Sus scrofa: one gene and its partners. The protein of the gene in region 3 interacts with the protein of the main gene of each other region in a pairwise test. Links are inferred from orthologs where the notes say so. Each region holds a gene or a part of one and is shown on either strand. Other genes may lie near its edges. The genes, in order: EDC3, RITA1, DCP1A and PNRC2.

Evidence for each region.
Region 1: the proteins of DCP1A (region 3) and EDC3 interact in binary tests that used the Homo sapiens proteins (3 or more experiments, as listed by UniProt). The two-hybrid records come from large-scale screens. The link is inferred for Sus scrofa from reciprocal best matches to the Homo sapiens genes DCP1A and EDC3.
Region 2: the proteins of DCP1A (region 3) and RITA1 interact in binary tests that used the Homo sapiens proteins (3 or more experiments, as listed by UniProt). The two-hybrid records come from large-scale screens. The link is inferred for Sus scrofa from reciprocal best matches to the Homo sapiens genes DCP1A and RITA1.
Region 4: the proteins of DCP1A (region 3) and PNRC2 interact in binary tests that used the Homo sapiens proteins (3 or more experiments, as listed by UniProt). The link is inferred for Sus scrofa from reciprocal best matches to the Homo sapiens genes DCP1A and PNRC2.

The regions. Positions count from the first base shown.
Region 1 is NC_010449.5:58,891,135-58,894,695, forward strand, and holds part of EDC3 (enhancer of mRNA-decapping protein 3), read left to right. Parts: intron 1-20; coding exon 21-238; intron 239-1,333; coding exon 1,334-1,668; 3' UTR 1,669-3,561. UniProt on the Homo sapiens protein: Binds single-stranded RNA. Involved in the process of mRNA degradation and in the positive regulation of mRNA decapping. May play a role in spermiogenesis and oogenesis.
Region 2 is NC_010456.5:38,666,631-38,670,939, reverse strand, and holds the start of RITA1 (RBPJ-interacting and tubulin-associated protein 1), read right to left. Parts: upstream 2,855-4,309; 5' UTR 2,586-2,854; intron 2,424-2,585; 5' UTR 2,283-2,423; intron 1,878-2,282; 5' UTR 1,823-1,877; coding exon 1,512-1,822; intron 1-1,511. Other genes in the region: ATP-dependent RNA helicase DDX54, read left to right, coding at 3,156-3,329. UniProt on the Homo sapiens protein: Tubulin-binding protein that acts as a negative regulator of Notch signaling pathway.
Region 3 is NC_010455.5:35,422,987-35,427,204, forward strand, and holds the start of DCP1A (mRNA-decapping enzyme 1A), read right to left. Parts: upstream 2,860-4,218; 5' UTR 2,223-2,859; coding exon 2,198-2,222; intron 1-2,197. UniProt on the Homo sapiens protein: Necessary for the degradation of mRNAs, both in normal mRNA turnover and in nonsense-mediated mRNA decay. Removes the 7-methyl guanine cap structure from mRNA molecules, yielding a 5'-phosphorylated mRNA fragment and 7m-GDP.
Region 4 is NC_010448.4:81,721,746-81,725,752, forward strand, and holds the start of PNRC2 (proline-rich nuclear receptor coactivator 2), read left to right. Parts: upstream 1-1,180; 5' UTR 1,181-1,333; intron 1,334-2,237; 5' UTR 2,238-2,443; intron 2,444-2,731; 5' UTR 2,732-2,749; coding exon 2,750-3,169; 3' UTR 3,170-4,007. UniProt on the Homo sapiens protein: Involved in nonsense-mediated mRNA decay (NMD) by acting as a bridge between the mRNA decapping complex and the NMD machinery. May act by targeting the NMD machinery to the P-body and recruiting the decapping machinery to aberrant mRNAs.

The DNA of each region.
Region 1 (3,561 bases), on a different chromosome or scaffold from region 3:
TCCTTTACTTTCTGTTCCAGATTGAATCCCAAAAATATTCACCAGAGGCCTACAGTGGCCCTGCTATGTGGGCCCCATGTGAAGGGGGCTCAGGGTATCAGCTGTGGAAGGCATCTAGCTAACCATGATGTCCAGGTCATCCTCTTCCTTCCCAACTTCATGAAGATGCTGGAATCCATCACCAACGAGCTGTCTCTCTTCAGCAAGACCCAAGGCCAACAAGTATCTAGCCTCAAAGGTGAGCACTTGGACAGGGCCAGGCCGAGGCCCTCTCCCTCCTCCGTAGTTTGATGGTCTGGCAGTGCCACCCAGTGGCGGCAGGTGGAAAAGCACCACAAGCATAGTGTTCTTTCCCTGTGAGTGGAGTTAGTGTCTGAGATAAATAATTTTGGTGCCAACCGGCCTACTTCCCATCCCTTCACCTTCCTCGTTCTCCACTCAGATGGAGAGGTTGGGACCCATTTATTCATTTCACAAATATTTACAAGATGGGCACCGTTCCTGACACTTGGGGATATTGGCAGCAGGTTTTGTTCTTTTGGATTTTTTTTTTTTTTTCCTCTTAAATCTGTGTTTCCATGGAGCTTACATTCTGGTTAGGATGGGCCACAAGTAACATTTCTATCCGGTCAGATGGTAGTAAGTGTTAATGGAGACAAATAAAGCAGGGAGGAGTTCCTGTCGTGGCTCAGCAGAAACAAATCCCAGTAGTATCCATGAGGACACAGGTTCGATCCCTGGCCTTGCTCAGTGGGTTAAGGATCCAGCGTTGCCATGAGCTGTGGTGTAGGTTGCAGCTCAGCTCGGATCCTGCATTGGTGTGGCTGTGGCGTAGGCCAGCAGCTGTAGCTCTGATTCCACCCTGCCCAAGGACTTCCATATGCCTCAGGGCGGCTGTAAAAAGAAAGGAAGGAAGAAGGGAGTGGAGGGAGATAGAGATTGTTGGCGGGTTGGGTGAAAGGTAGCAGACTTAAACATTTAGGGTCTAATCATAGATTATTGTAAGGATTTGACCTGTTACTCTGGGTGAGATGGAGAGTCAATGGAAGGATAAGAAGAGAGATAATCCAGCTCAGGTTGCAGATGATCATTTTAGCTGTTATTTGAGAGAAGATTGTTACAGTGAGCGGTGTGAAGGCTGTTGGGGTAACTGGAGAGGGAAATGATGTGGCGGAGGCAGCATGGTAGTGGTGGAATCAGTAAAAGGTGGCCCCTGCAGCGTCATCAGAGTGGTGGAGTGGCATCACTCTTGGGGCCACCTTGGTTCTGGTCCCCTGCCTGGGCTGCTCTCTGATTCGTAGGGGTTTTCAGATGGCACTCTTTCCACCTGCAGATCTGCCCACTAGCCCTGTGGACCTGGTGATCAACTGCCTGGATTGCCCCGAGAATGCCTTCCTGCGGGATCAGCCCTGGTACAAGGCAGCTGTGGCCTGGGCCAACCAGAACCGAGCGCCAGTACTCAGCATAGACCCTCCTGTGCATGAAGTTGAACAGGGCATCGATGCCAAGTGGTCGCTGGCTCTGGGCCTGCCTCTGCCTTTAGGGGAGCATGCCGGCCGCGTCTATCTGTGCGACATCGGCATTCCCCAGCAGGTGTTCCAGGAGGTGGGCATCAACTACCACTCGCCCTTTGGCTGCAAGTTTGTCATCCCACTGCACTCCGCCTAGAAGGGCTCTAGGCAGGCTGGACCTTGCGGTCCCCCCGCTGCTCCTGATACTGAACTTGACAACGAACGCCTTAAGGATGTGAAACTTCATGGACCTTGTTCAATTTTTTCGTTTGCATTTGTTTCTTTGAGAGAACAGATGGTATTTAAAACTGACCTGTCACCTGCCCTTAGCCAGGGAAGGCCTCCCCACTGGGTGTGCGGGGCAGGTGGCAGGCTGAGTGGATGGTGGGTCCAGGGATCCATACACTCAGCCCCCGTGTGGTCAGATGGGGCTTTGTTTACAGACATAGGCAGCTCACAGACTGTGTTTCAGGTTTACAGCCACTGGACCTGGACGAGCGCCTCATGGGGTGGGGCAGTTCTGTTTAGGGGCCTGTGCTTGCTCTGTTTCAGAGCTTGTGGCTTTGTCTCCCCTGCTTCCTCCCCCCAAGCAGCCCTTACCGATCATGTAGAACTGGCTGTGCTGCAGTTGCCCACTAGAGGGCAGACTTGCGTCCTCCATGTAATCTGAGGGCTTTGAGGTCTTCTCTGAGCCCCACCATAAGTTGATTTGGGGGCTTTTGACCCTTTCTCCTGAGCTGATCTAAGTTTTATGCTGGAGTTTTGTTTTTTGTTATTTTTTTTTTCTAAGATTCCTTCCTCCTTCCCACTCCATCACTCTGAGAGGCAGAGAAGTGGGGGTGGCATCAGAATTGTTTTACTATATTGGAATTTTTTACTGTTTTTCTGTTGTCTTCAGTACAGGTAGTATAAGGTTATGTTACTAGAGAACCACAGTGCCCATCTTGCCAGCAGTGCCCCCCGCCCCAAACCCATACTCTCTAGCTGGGGGCTGAGCCTTTGCCTAGTCTGGGGCCAGACCCCTCAGGGTGCAGCTTTAATGTTTAGTATTGGGGAGGCCCCAGGGGGAGCCTGGTGCTGAGCCAGAAGAGGCTCCCTGGTGCTTCTGTCCTAGGCCACCACTCCCCTCCGCTCCCTGCCTGCACACACATACCCGTCTTCTCTTCTACCCCCTCTGCCCTTCCTCTGCAGTGGTCCTCTGCAGCTGTGATCCCAGAGCAGGGTGCATGTCTCTCCCCTTTGGGCTCCACCCCAGCTTTTACAGTGTCTGGGCCTTGAACCCTCTTTGTCCTTTCTAGATGAGTAGGCTCAGGGCCAGCGCCCTGTCTCAAAGATGCCAAAATGAGGCTAGTTCTAGATGAGCTAGCTGGGGGGTGCTCAGCCTGAAGAACATTGTGCTGCTCAGATCCTATGCACTGAGCCCGTGGACATTCACAGGCCTAGGCCCTGGAGGCTGGCAGGACAGGAGCCATGCCCCGAAGTTTCTGGGAGAGGCTCTTGCAAAAGGCTTGTGCTTTAAAGCCTCTTTCAGGGCTTCAGGCTTCTGCTCTGTGCCCACTCACTCTGGTTAAGGGGGTGAGTAAAAGGGCTTGGCAAGGATTGTGGACACAGGGTAGGCCCTGGCACCATGGGTTTCAGGCTACTTTCACTTTCTTATAGGAGCATAGCCAGGAGCAGATGAGGCAGGGCAGAGGGCTGGTCCCTCCTTTCCTCCCATCCTCCTTCAAATGCTGAATTGTCTCTAGCAGTGGAAGGTCAGCGACTGTGAATCCCGTGCTGTATATCCTTCCTGAGCCTCTGCTTACTCTCAGGGCCAAGAAGCTCCCCACATGGGGCCCTCTCTTTATAGAAGCAGGGCTGTAAACTGAGGAGCAGTGCAAGATTACAGGCATTTTGGTAAGCAGTCGTTAACCCAGCCCTGGCTTCCGGTTAATGCAGGTAGGTCCCCTGATTGGGTGCAGTGAAAAAGAGCTAGAAGAACCCTGGCCCAGAAGACTCTGCTTGCTCCAGTAAGTCACAGTGGCCCTGGGGTGCTGGCCTTGTGTTGAGG
Region 2 (4,309 bases), on a different chromosome or scaffold from region 3:
GTCTTTGAAAAGTCAATCTTTTGCTATTTGATTCAACTGCTGAAAACCACATCTGGTTGATACCTATGTCTGTCTGGTACCAAAGTGTTTGCTCAATAGCATCTCCACTTCTTAGGCACCTTCTAACTTAGGCACCTCTACTTGTCAGCATCCTACAGCCTTGCTGTAGGTGTCAGTGCTATTAATGTCAATCTGACCCTGCCTTGTGGTCCATGAGACTTGTCAGGTTGACGTAATAAGGGGGTCTTGCTTTTATCTCTGTTGAATTTTATCTCCTTAAATAGGCATTATTCTCATTCTTAACTAATCTTTGTGTCTACTGGCTCAGAAGGGATCCTAAATATGATCGCTAGTTATTTGGACTGAATTGAGTCCTCCCAAAATTCATGTGAATTTTAAATAAGTAATTAGAGGTTAAATGAGGCCATAAAGGCGAGGTCCTAAACCAATACGATTTGTGTTCTTATAAGAAGAGGAAGAGACACCAGGAGTATACACCTCACAAAGAAAAGTCTCTTTGAGGACCCAGTGAAGAGGTGGCCATCTGCAACCCAAGGAGAGGCTTCAGGAGAAACCAACCTTCCTGGCCTCTTGACCTTGGACTTCAAGCCTCTAAAACTGTGAAAAAATAAATTTCTGTTGTTTAAGCCCCCAGTCTACAATATTTTGTTATGATAGCCTGACTGACTAAATTACTAGTCTTCCATGTGTTTGATCAAATCACTGATGACAATAAATAAGTTAGAGTCTTGTGGCTTACCATGAGACACCTTCCTCCAGATCAATATCTATATACTTTTATTATTTTTTTTGCCTTTTAGGACCGCACCTGCGGCATATGGAAGTTCCCAGGCTAGGGGTCGAATCGGAGCTACAGCCGCTGGCCTACGCCACAGCCATAGCAACGTGGGATCCAAGCTGTGTCTGTGACCTACACAACAGCCAACAGCAATGCCAGATCCTTAACCCACTGAGTGAGGCCAGGGATAGAACGTCGTTCTCATGGATCCTACAAAAGAGAACTCCCAGGCCAATATTAATCAAAATAATCCAAATAATCTAGTTCTAATTTACAACAATAACCATTAGCATTAGACCCTGTTTTCCTAACTTGTTCATGAAAATGCAGCAGGAGCCATTTTATGAATAACTTGATGAAATGTGGAATCACATCTGTGTTATTTTATCAATCAACCACACTAATAATCTTATGCAAACTGCTGTGTGATCTTGGGCAAATCACCTGACCCCTCTGGGCCTCAGAAGACCAGCCTAAGACATCTGGGGATGGTTATTGCACCATCACAACCATCATCACCACCATTTATTGAGAGCTTTTTAATTGTCAGGTTATTGTGCCAAGCACTGTAAAGTCTCATCTCGTTTAATCCTCTCAATAATCCCACTAGGTACCACCTTCCACTGTGAGGAAATCGCAGCTCAGAGAATTCAAAGTGCTTGCCCAAGGCCACACAGCATGTGAACAGCAGGGCATCTCCCTGGCCTGTTACCTGTACTTGTTCTTCTTCCTTGGTGTGGGGGTTGGGATGCTACCCCTGGAAGAGCTGGTCTCACAGCTCCTGTTGGCTCCTGAGGCCTGTGATGCCCCTGTACCCACTCCTCTGGTTCTGTTGGCTTTCTTCATCCAGGGTGGGTCAAAATCTGGTGGTGTGGGCCGGGTGCCTGCAGGACTGCCAAACAAAGTCTCATCCACGTATGACGGCCTAACATTGACCCGGTGGTTGCCCCGGCAGCGTTGCTGAACATGGAGGGTCTGCATCCCACTGATGGCCAGCTCAACTGGGGTCTTCATGCTGCCCATGGTCTCTGGTGACAGCAGTTGTGCTCTGCCTTCCAGGCCCTGCCTCCAGGGCTCCCTGTGAAAAACGGTCATGGTGGCAACCATCTGTCATCAGCAAAGACTGGCAGTCACATAAATTCCCATCCCCAGGGCAAAAAGGTCACATTCTCCCTTAACCAGACCTCCTCAAAGGGGAGCTGCCAATCCCAGGGCACATTTTGGAAATCTGACCCTTTTTTAGTTGTCAGGATGACAGGGACGGGGGTCCTACTGGCCAAAATTTCATGAATAAACATGTACTTCCGGCATACACTGTGTGCTCAACAAATATTTACAGAATGCTAGGGGATTGGAGAAGAGATTGGGCTTGTGCCCATTTTGGCACCAACCAGAAAACAAAGGAAGGGGAGACAAGGGAAGTCCCTATATGCTGTACATGTTTACGGGGCAGGTATAATAACCAGCATAATCCCAAGCCTACCTCTTGCAAAGTGCTTCATAAGCATTGTCTCATTTAATCTTCTCAACGGTCCTGTGACATAGCTTCCATTACGTCCATTCTACAGATGACAAAACTGGGGCTTCAAAAGCTGAAGTCACAAATGTCAGTCACACCTATAAGCTAAAACAGTGGGAGTTGAATCTGAACCTGATAGAATTCTAGAGCTTGTGCACTCAACTATTGTACTACTGAAGGATCACGCCCAGTCTGTTATTCGCCGATCCCCAAATCAAAATCCCGGCTGACGTCTGAGGTGCCGGCAACCTGGAGTTACTTTCCTACCTGAGCATTTTGTATTGCTGATGTCGGCCGCAATTCTATGGCCCCTCCCCCCAAGTCTGGACTCCTTTGCGGGGGCGTTCTGGCACCTGCAGCGCGCGGTACACCCGAGATCTGCAGCTCCGACTCTCAGGAGCCCGCGACCCTCGGCTGCTCAGGCCACCCCCAGCCCCCGACCCGGGCACCGCGCGGACAGCCCGGGCAAAGCGCCGACGGACTGGACCAGGGAAGTCAAGCCCTAGCGACGTCAGGTCCGCACGCGCATCAAACAGCAACCAACCACCAGCCCTCCAACCGCAGGCCCCGGCGAGCCGGCCGGAACCATTCGCTCCCGAGGTGGTCAGGGCTCCCCGTTCCGGACGCCACCTGGAGTTCCCCAAAGCCTTGGGGAGGGGTATCTCACGCCGGTGAGACGACACTGTGGGCGCGCGCATTGTGTGTCAAGCATCCGGAGGCTGCGAGAGGGGAGGGAACGCAGCAGCGGCCGCGTAGAGGCCCACCCCCGCCCCAAACGCGCCGTTGGTACATTCCGGCAGACTCCGCTCCCTCCTGTTTCTCGGCGCCGGGGCCCGCATGGCTGCCGGCAGGCGCCCGGCGGCCGCACAGCGGTCCGGAGCTGCCATGGCCCAATGGAGGAAAAAGAAGGGGCTCCGGAAGCGCCGGGGAGCGGCCTCCCAGTCCCGCAGCAGCGACTCGGAGGACGGCGAGTTTGAGATCCAGGCGCAAGATGACGCCCGGGCCCAGAAGGTAGGAACGCATATATGTCGGAGCCCAAGCGCTGGCTCCGTGCAGCGCCTCGCAGCTTGAGTTTCCCCAGCTGAGGAGTGGGCACGGCTGAAGGTGGGGAGAGGTCGTCTGGCCTGGGGTTGGGTCAGGACCTCCGGCCTGAGGCTCATGTGCTCCAGGGGCTGGGGCCTGCGGGCCTTCCGGGCCGGCTCTCAGTTTCTTGCTTCTCATTGGCTACTTCCTAGCCGGGGAACGGGTCCTGATTCCCACTCATCCAATGGAAAGTGCGGATGCTGAAGATCGGACTTGGAGAGTTTGGGGGATTCTTGGGAGGATGAATTAGGAGAAGGCTTCACCGCTTGGCTTGAGACCGTGGCTCCCCCAAACTTTTGGAAACTAATAATAAGTTAGACTTGCTTTTGTTGATCGCTTATTATGTGCCAGGCTCCGGCGCTAAGAGCTTTACAAACCTTATCATTTAATCCTTACACCCACCCGGTGAGCTAAGTAGCCATCCTGATTTTCCAGAGGAGGAAACCTAGGCCTAGAGGGGTTAAAGGAACGTGACCAAGATCTCAGGGCTTGTGAGTGGGAGAGCAAGGATTCAAATCTCGGACTGTATGGTTCCAGTCCCCGTGCTGTTTCCTCTACTGAATGTTAACTGTATGCAAGGGGCGGCAGGGGGGCGGCGGTAGGTGTGAACACCAACGTGGAAAAGCGCTGTAGCCCAGTATTTCTCACAGCCTTGTGCGTAGCGGCTGCCAGGCACAGAGAAGCGTTTATATGTAGAGAGGGTTCTACCCTCGGAGGCAGGGACCAGATGGGAACCTTATTCCACCTGAGCCTCATATAGTAGATCCTCTGTAAATATGGACCAAGGCACAGCCCTATTTTCAAATTTGACCCAATCTTGTACTGGCTGGAGGATATGGGAGAAGTTGCTTAACCTCTCTGAGCTTCAGTTTCCACACACATAGAAAGCAATGGATTATGTGCATCTC
Region 3 (4,218 bases):
GTGCCAGATCTGATCTGCATCTGCAACCTACACTACAGCTCACGGCAATGCCGGATCCTTAACCCATTGAGTGAGGCTAGGGATCAAACCTGCAATCTCATGGTTCCTAGTCAGATTCATTTCCACTGCGCCACGACGGGAACTCCCATTGAATCTTTTGATGCACAAATGTAGTATATCTCTCCATTTATTTAGGTTCTGATTTTTTTAAAATTCAGTATTTTGTAATTTTCAGTACACCTGTACATGTTTTGTTATGTTTACACCTAAGTATTTAATTTTCCCTGTACAATTTATAAACGGTTACTACCTTTAACTTGGGGTTTCCACAGGTTCATTATAAGTATGTATAAGTGTGATTTATTTTTGTGTGTTGATCTTGTATCTCCAGACCTTTCCAAACTCACTTATTAGTTGTAGGAGTTTGTACAGAGACATTCATGTCATCTGTGGACAGAGACAGTTTTATTTCTTCTTTTCCAATCTGTAGGCCTATTCTCTTTTCCCCTTATTACACTGGCTAGAACTTTCAGTGCTATGTTGAATAGCAGTAATGAGAATAGATTTCCTTGCTTTATTTTCAATATTAGAGGGAAAACATTCACCCTTTCCTTTATAATGTGGTAGATATACTGACTGATTTTTAATACTGAACCACCTTTGCAGAGCTGGAATAAAGCCCATTTGTTCATAATTTATATTTCTTTTCTATATATTGTTGGCTTTGCTATTATCTGGTTAAGGATTTTTTTTTAAAGTTCATTAGAGATACTGGTTTGTAGTTTTCTTTTTTGTACTTTCTTGTTTTGAGTATTAAAGTAAACGTTGGTCTTACAGAATAAGTTGAGAAGTGTTTCCCCTTTTCTGTTTTCTGGAAGAAACTGTAAAATTAGCATTAAAGAATCTTTGAATTCTCCAGTAAAATCATCTGGGCCTGGGGATTTCTTTTTCGGAAACTTTAAAATTAGGAATTCAATTTATTTCATGGCAATAGGACTATTTATTTATGTTATCTATTTTATCTTGGTTTTGTAGTTTGTTGTCTTCAAGGAATTGGTCCATTTCTTCTAAATGGTCACGTGTATGAGTGTAAAGTTATTGATAGCATTCTCCTATTACAGAGGATGTGTGGATGATATTGGAGGCAGATATGGTAGGGGCTCCCTGGAGAAAGAGAAACAGGCATGGCTTTCTTGACAGAAGAGAAACAATTTTTGGCCTACGACATTTTGTGATCTAAGCCTGGTCACAATGCTTACCCTTGAACAGGTCCCAGTAATTAATGATCTTAAAGGAACAAAAGAATGCAGAAACAAATTATTATCAGGTAGGAGAAGTAACGATAGCAAAGATAATGTAGCGGTTGTAAAGGCTCCCAGTTCTATTTCAACGGTAAAGACTAGCCTGAAGTGTTCAACCACCAGATCAGCTGGAGTCTAAGGGAGGAGTATGTTGACATTTTCTGGCCCTTATAACTTCAATCAACTAACACTTGGATTCTGTGGACCACCCAAGCTCCTTAATGAATACGCATGTATGCTTAACTTGAAACTCCCTCATCTTTGCTGCTTGGGGAGACCCTGTTTTGTGAAAGATCCCATGTTCCCTATACTTGCTGCAAGTAATAATAAACCCTTCCTTCTCATGATCTTTAGCTTGGTTATGTCTTTTGGCTTGACACAAACTAAGAGGCAAATCTACTTTTCAGGTAACTACATCCACTATTCCACTCCTGATATTGATAATCTATGTCATCTTTTTACTTTTATTAGTCTTTATTAAAGGTTTATCAACTTTATTGACTTTTTCAAATAATCAACTTTTTGTCTCATTCATTTTTCTTTGTTTTCATCGTCTTAATGTCATTGATTTCTGCTCTACTCTTTGTTCTTTCCTTACTTCTGCATGCTTTGAGTTAGTTTATTTTTTTCTTCTTTTTCTAATTTCTTGAGGTGGGAATTTAGTAGGCCCTTAGCCAGTGTTGCTTGAAAGGATGGGAGGAGTTTTCAATGGCTAGGCCACCTGGAGTACCTTCACTGGTGAAGGGAGATAAAGACTGCTTCCTAGGCCAGGTGGTTGTAATGTGGCTCCTTCCCTACACCCACCTCCTTCTCATGAAAAGGAGGGAAAATATTACCTCAGTGGCTATTTATTGTCAGTAAGGTTTAAATCCTTCGTGCAGTCTTGTTGGGCTCACCTGGTACTGCTGGCAGGGCTCCCATTCGATCTAGGAGAGGAACAAGCCTGTATGAGGCACCTTCCTTTGCTATGTTGGAGGTCAAGAAACACTATGCCTGGGTCCCCTTCTTCTGTTGAAGGCTTGTAAGACAAGCTGCTGTTGGGTTGTTCTGTCAGTTCTGGGTCCCGAACCCGATCTTCTTCTTTCTACCTTTTAGAATTTTCCTGATTGTCCTTTTGTTACTTCTGATTTTTAGAATTGTATTTAATAGGGGAGAAGGAAAGACAAATTTATGCCATTTTGTTTGGGTCAGAAGTTCCATTATGTACTTTTATGGATAGAAAACCGAGGCTCATGGAAAGACTGACATTAATAAATTAGAGAAAAATAGTCTTATAACTAGAACCAGAACTCATGTCTTCTCACTCTAAGCCAGTATCCTTCCACTACATACTCAATGCCTCATTAGTTGAAATAACACAAAATATTCTGTAGAAAGTAAAGTAAACAAGTTTCAATTACTCTTGAGGACTAAAACACAAAAAAGAATCAAGCATAAATAATCGAACAAGGTAAAAATTACATTCTAAAAGAATGACAATACAGAAAATACAAATGCTAGCAGAAGAAACTTTAAAAATCCTTTGAGTTCCTGCTGTTGCTCAGTGGGTTAAGAACGTGACTAAGGTCTATGAGGATTTGGGTTCCATCCCTGGTCTTGCTCAGTGGGTTACGGATTCAGCGTTGCCATAAGCTGCAGTGTAGGTTGGCAGCTGCAACTCCAATTCAACCCCTAGCCTGGAAACTTCCATATGCCATGGGTGTGGCCCTAAAAAAAAAAAAAAAAGACCAAAAAAAAAAATTCTTTTTCTATAACTATGATTTGAATTGCATCAATACACATTAACATATACTCACACTACCAATATACATTAATTTAGAAAGCCACCTTTTCATTTTTAAAAGTTTTATAGTAGTTGATCTACAATGTTTTGAAAATTTCTGCTATACAACAAAACAATACAGTTATACATATACATACATCCATTCTTTTCAGATTCTTTTCCCATATAGATTATCACAGAATATTGGGTAGAGTTCACTGTGCTATATAGCAGGTCTCTGTTGGCCAGCTGTTTAATATACCACAGTGTGCATATGTCAATTCCAAACCCCCAGCACATCCCAACTCACCCCACCTGTCCCCTTTGATAACTGTAAGTTTATTTTCAAAGTCTGTGGGTCTGTTTCTGTTCTGCAAATAAGTTCATTTGTATTATTTAAAAATTTTTTAATTTTTATTAATTTTTGCTTTTTAGGGCCACACCCGCAGCATATGGAGGTTCCCAGGCTAGGGGTTGAATCAGAGCTACAACTGCCAGCCTACACCACAGCCACAGCAACGTGGAATCAGAGCCAAGTCTGTGACCTACATCACAGCTCATGGCAATGCCGGATCCTTAATCCACTGAGTGAGGCCAGGGATTGAATCTGCAACTTCATGGTTCCTAGTAGGATTCATTTCCACTGCACCATGATGGGAATTCCTGTATTATTTTTTTTAGATTTCACATATAAGTGATACTATATGATATTTGTCACTGTTAATAAAAGCTTTTTTTTTTTTTAAAAGAAAATTAAGTGACCCCTAGCCTGGGAACCTCCATATGTCACAGTCATGGCCTTAAAAAAGATAAAAAAAAAAAAAAAAAAAAAAAAAAGGAAAGAAAGAAAGAAAGAAAATTAAGGTACAGGAGTTCTCATTGTGGCTCAGTGATAATGAACCCAACCAGTATCCATGAGGATGAGGGTTTGATCCATGGCCCTGCTCATGGATAAGGATCCAGCATTGCTGTGAGCTGTGGTATAGGTCACAGACAAGGCTCGGATCCTCCATTGCTATGGCTAACAACTGCATCTCCGATTTGACCCCTAGCCTGGGAACGTCCATATGCTGCAGATGTGGCCCTAAAAAGCAAAAAAAAAAAAAAAAAGAAAAAAAAGAAAAGAAAAGAAAATTAAGGTACAAATGACATAAT
Region 4 (4,007 bases), on a different chromosome or scaffold from region 3:
CCAGCTGGATACAGTGGGTTAATGGATCTGGTTAAAGGCTTGGATCTGACCCCATGAGGTGGCAAAACCAACCAACAAACCAAAAAACTCCTATGTTCATAGAAACTGTTGTTCTCTTTTAAAATACGAGCCTTGGGTTGCTTATCCATTTATTCCCAAGAAGTTGTCCTTTTCCTCTTTGCTGCACCTCACTGGCAAACGAACTTAACTCTTTTCTCCTCCCTTTATTTACACACTGCAGAAAGGGTTATAAGTAAGGGAACTCTCCTCTCAACAAACTCTTCTTGGGGCACTTACAACGTACTCTGTGTTCAGAGAAACGAAACCCTGCTTTGCCCCCTGCCCAACCCCACCCGGAGGATGTGTGCGCGGGAACTCGCGGACAAGTAGCTACCACATAGTGTGATTGAAGTTCAAGACCAGTCAGACACAAAGGAGGAACTGATTAACTTGACCCGCACGTGCGTCGGAAACGCCTTCACAGAAGAGGTAGCTTCTTAGAATTTCGAGGCTGGGGGCCAGGGGGGCGGGAAGGAACCGCAAGCTGGGGCGCTGGCGTGACCGAGAAACAGAGAGGGAGGAGTGTCTGGACTAAGTGGCCAGGGGCCAGCCTCGGAAAGCAACTTTGATCAGTATCTTCCATGTGTAAGAGATCGGTTACTCGGCTCAGTGAACTTAACTCGGGAACTCAACGCCCCCTCCAGTGACTCCCCATGGCCCGGAACCCACTTGGTTCCGAGTGCCACGGGACCCACTGGCCGGACAGCGCGGGAGGAAGCCGCTGTTCCAGTGGGCGGCCGACGCCCTTCTCCCCGGAGCCGCTTGCGCGCGGCTCTCGGACCCTGGAATCGGCGCGAGGGGCTGGTGCTGGCCGCGACTTGGGGTGTCGGACGGGGCCTGGTGGGCTTCTCCCGGAAGGGGCTGGTGTCACTCGGGGGCCCGAGAAAGGGCGGCAGCCGGGGCCCGCAGCGGTCTTTCCCGACATGCTCTTCTCGAGGAGTATTTGAAACCCTCGGCCACAGCCACCTCCCCTCCCTCGGCCCCGTCGGGCCCCAGCAACAGGCGGCGGCCCGCGTGTCATTGGCCGGGCCGCGCGAAAGCGTGTTTTGATTGGCCGCCGCGCTTCCCGGCCCAGCTTCTGCGCTCACTGTCGCCTCCATTTTGTCGGTAGAGGCAGAAGGAGGAGGTCGGCCGGGACGTTAAGGTGGCCTGCAGCAGGCTCGTCGGTGCCCGTTGGCTTCGCTCGTTCCGTGCCTCGTCTCTCCCTGGAAGGGGAGGGGGGCTTCGACGCCGAGCAGGATCCGCCGCTGTCGTAGTCCCGAGCTTGAAGTCGGTGAGTGGCGGGCGCGGCCATGTTGGCGGCCGCGCTCCCCATTGTTGGGGGTAGGAAGTCAGATCCAGTGCCCGGCGGGCGCAGGCGGCGGGGAAGACCGGGTTCCCCGGCCGGGCCCGAGCAACGCGGAGCGGCTCGGAAACCCAGCCACATCGGAAGAGCCGAACTTTCCAGGCTCTTGTTGGGAATGACTCACGATCCGGGAATTCGTAGTTTCTTTAGGGCTGTTAAAATAGTCTGGAAGGGCCTCTCGCTCTTTCAAAAAAAAGAGGGCTTATTATTTATATGGTGACTTGGTTTCTTGGAATAGCAAACGAAATCTTGAATGTTTAATGTTCCTGATAGGCATTTTCATACATATTAGATGGGACAGTGACTTCAGTTATGGCTTGTGGAACTTCTTTTAAAATGGGGAGGAGTCAAGAGTTCAAAACTAAAGGAAACGCTGCATCACGTAAACCTGTTTGGAGAGGAGGCTTTGTGGAAACGGATGTGTAATGTGTGCAAAGATTGGAAAGTAATGGTGAGACTTTAAAAACATAGCTTCTTTAGGAAACACAGTTTAAGCCCATTTCTTGGCATGGCTGTGAAAGTTAATGCTTCTGTGGTTTGACTGGTTTTGGTCACAGAATCCGTGTGAGAATCTGAAAAGTTCCTAGAAAAAAGATACAACTTATTGAGAGGTCTGGCGGACACCCTTCCCCAATTCCTTATGAGTTCCTGGATCTCAAGGCTTAGAAGAGTTCTTAGATGATGACAGTTCTAAGGTCAAAGCCATCTTTAGAGACATTATTTTCTGCCTTTTAATTAGGAAGTAGCCATTTAACTATTTCTGTAGCAAATAATAAATGATCGCTTTCTCCTGTTTAACACGTGAAATAATTTAGAAATCTTTGCTTTTTAGCTAGGACTTCTCTCAAGGTTGTGTGCTGAGGAGACTCAGATGTTGGCCTCAGTTCCTAGGCTGAACTCAGCAGATCGGCCCATGAAAACTTCTGTATTGAGACAAAGGAAAGGATCTGTCAGAAAGCAACATCTCTTATCCTGGGCTTGGCGGCAAGGAAGAGGACAGGTGGTGGAAATCCTGCAATCTGAAAAGCAGACTGAAAGGTATCCAAGACTTCATGTTGAAATGGGGCAGACATTTTTATGGACTCATCCTAAACTGTTTAAGTAGAGGATCATACCAATTTGTAAGTTCATTTTTCTCAAGAAGTAACAAAGGCTGTGCATATGAAGTGTGGGCATTGTAATTAAGTAAAAAGCAGCTGAATAGCACATCTTTGAGTCTTCACCAAGGTTTCTGGGGTTACAAGTTGTGACTACTGAAGTTTTTTTAAAGTTTTAAACTATCTTAAGTGGAATTTTACTTAGCATTTTGTTTCCATTTGCTTACAGGTGACAAAGAAGCTGAAGATGGGTGGTGGAGAGAGGTATAACATTCCAGCCCCTCAATCTAGAAATGTTAGTAAGAACCAACAACAGCTTAATAGACAGAAGACCAAGGATCAGAATTCCCAGATGAAGATTGTTCATAAGAAAAAGGAAAGAGGACATACTTACAATTCATCAGCAGCTGCATGGCAAGCCATGCAAAATGGGGGGAAGAACAAAAATTTTCCAAATAATCAAAATTGGAACTCTAGCTTATCAAGTCCCACCTTACTTTTTAAGTCTCAAACTAATCAGAACTATGCTGGAGCCAAATTTAGTGAGCCACCGTCACCAAGTGTTCTTCCTAAACCACCAAGCCACTGGGTTCCTGTTTCCTTCAATCCTTCCGATAAAGAAATAATGACATTTCAACTAAAAACCTTACTTAAAGTACAGGTATGAGATAAAGTACTAATGTTCAAAGCTAGTCAATATTTAGGGATAATTGGCAATTGTTTCAGACTAAATACACAAGGGAATTAATCTGTAAAATAGCTTGCGTAGAAAATATAATTAGACTTCATCTTTTATGTGTTATGTGCATTGATGTAATGATAGAATCAGTGCAACTTAACTAAGATTTGTACTTGATTATCAATACTAAATTAAGTGTTTTCAATGGATTAACCATTTAAATGAAACCAAGTGCAGATTTGGGGAGTGATAAAGGAATCAACCTTTTCTATTGCTTGTTGGGAAAATTAAGATTATCATTCATGGATCAGTAGGTTTACTTGTTGAAAGCTGGTGAATCTGATGATAAGCATCAAATTAAAACATACAGGGGTTGAAAACTAGTTGAATATTGAGTTCAATGTTCTAGAAACATCCAGACCAGTTACATATCAACAACCTGATGCACTGCCAAAAAAATGTGAACTTTTTAAAAAGATTATAGTTGTTTTAGTTAACTATATGGTGTACAGGGCACTAGGGGCTATTAGAATGAAATAGTATACCCCACTGGCCTTGTATATGACATGCAGTGGATAGATGTCTGCCAACAAAGGCACCGAAATCATTTTTTATGGAAATAGTATTTGGTGTTAACCAAGTAGCTTTCAAAATGCATTTTTGTATTATGGCACTGCACAAGCTATTCTGACAGTGATCTGGCTTCACACCATCCTTGCAAAGCTTGTTTAAAGTGGGGAGCTGTATAATGTGAAAGTTTTAAGTAGCTAGGAAAGAGCCATGTAAATATATGTAATAAACTTGTAGCATATGTAAAATTTTATTG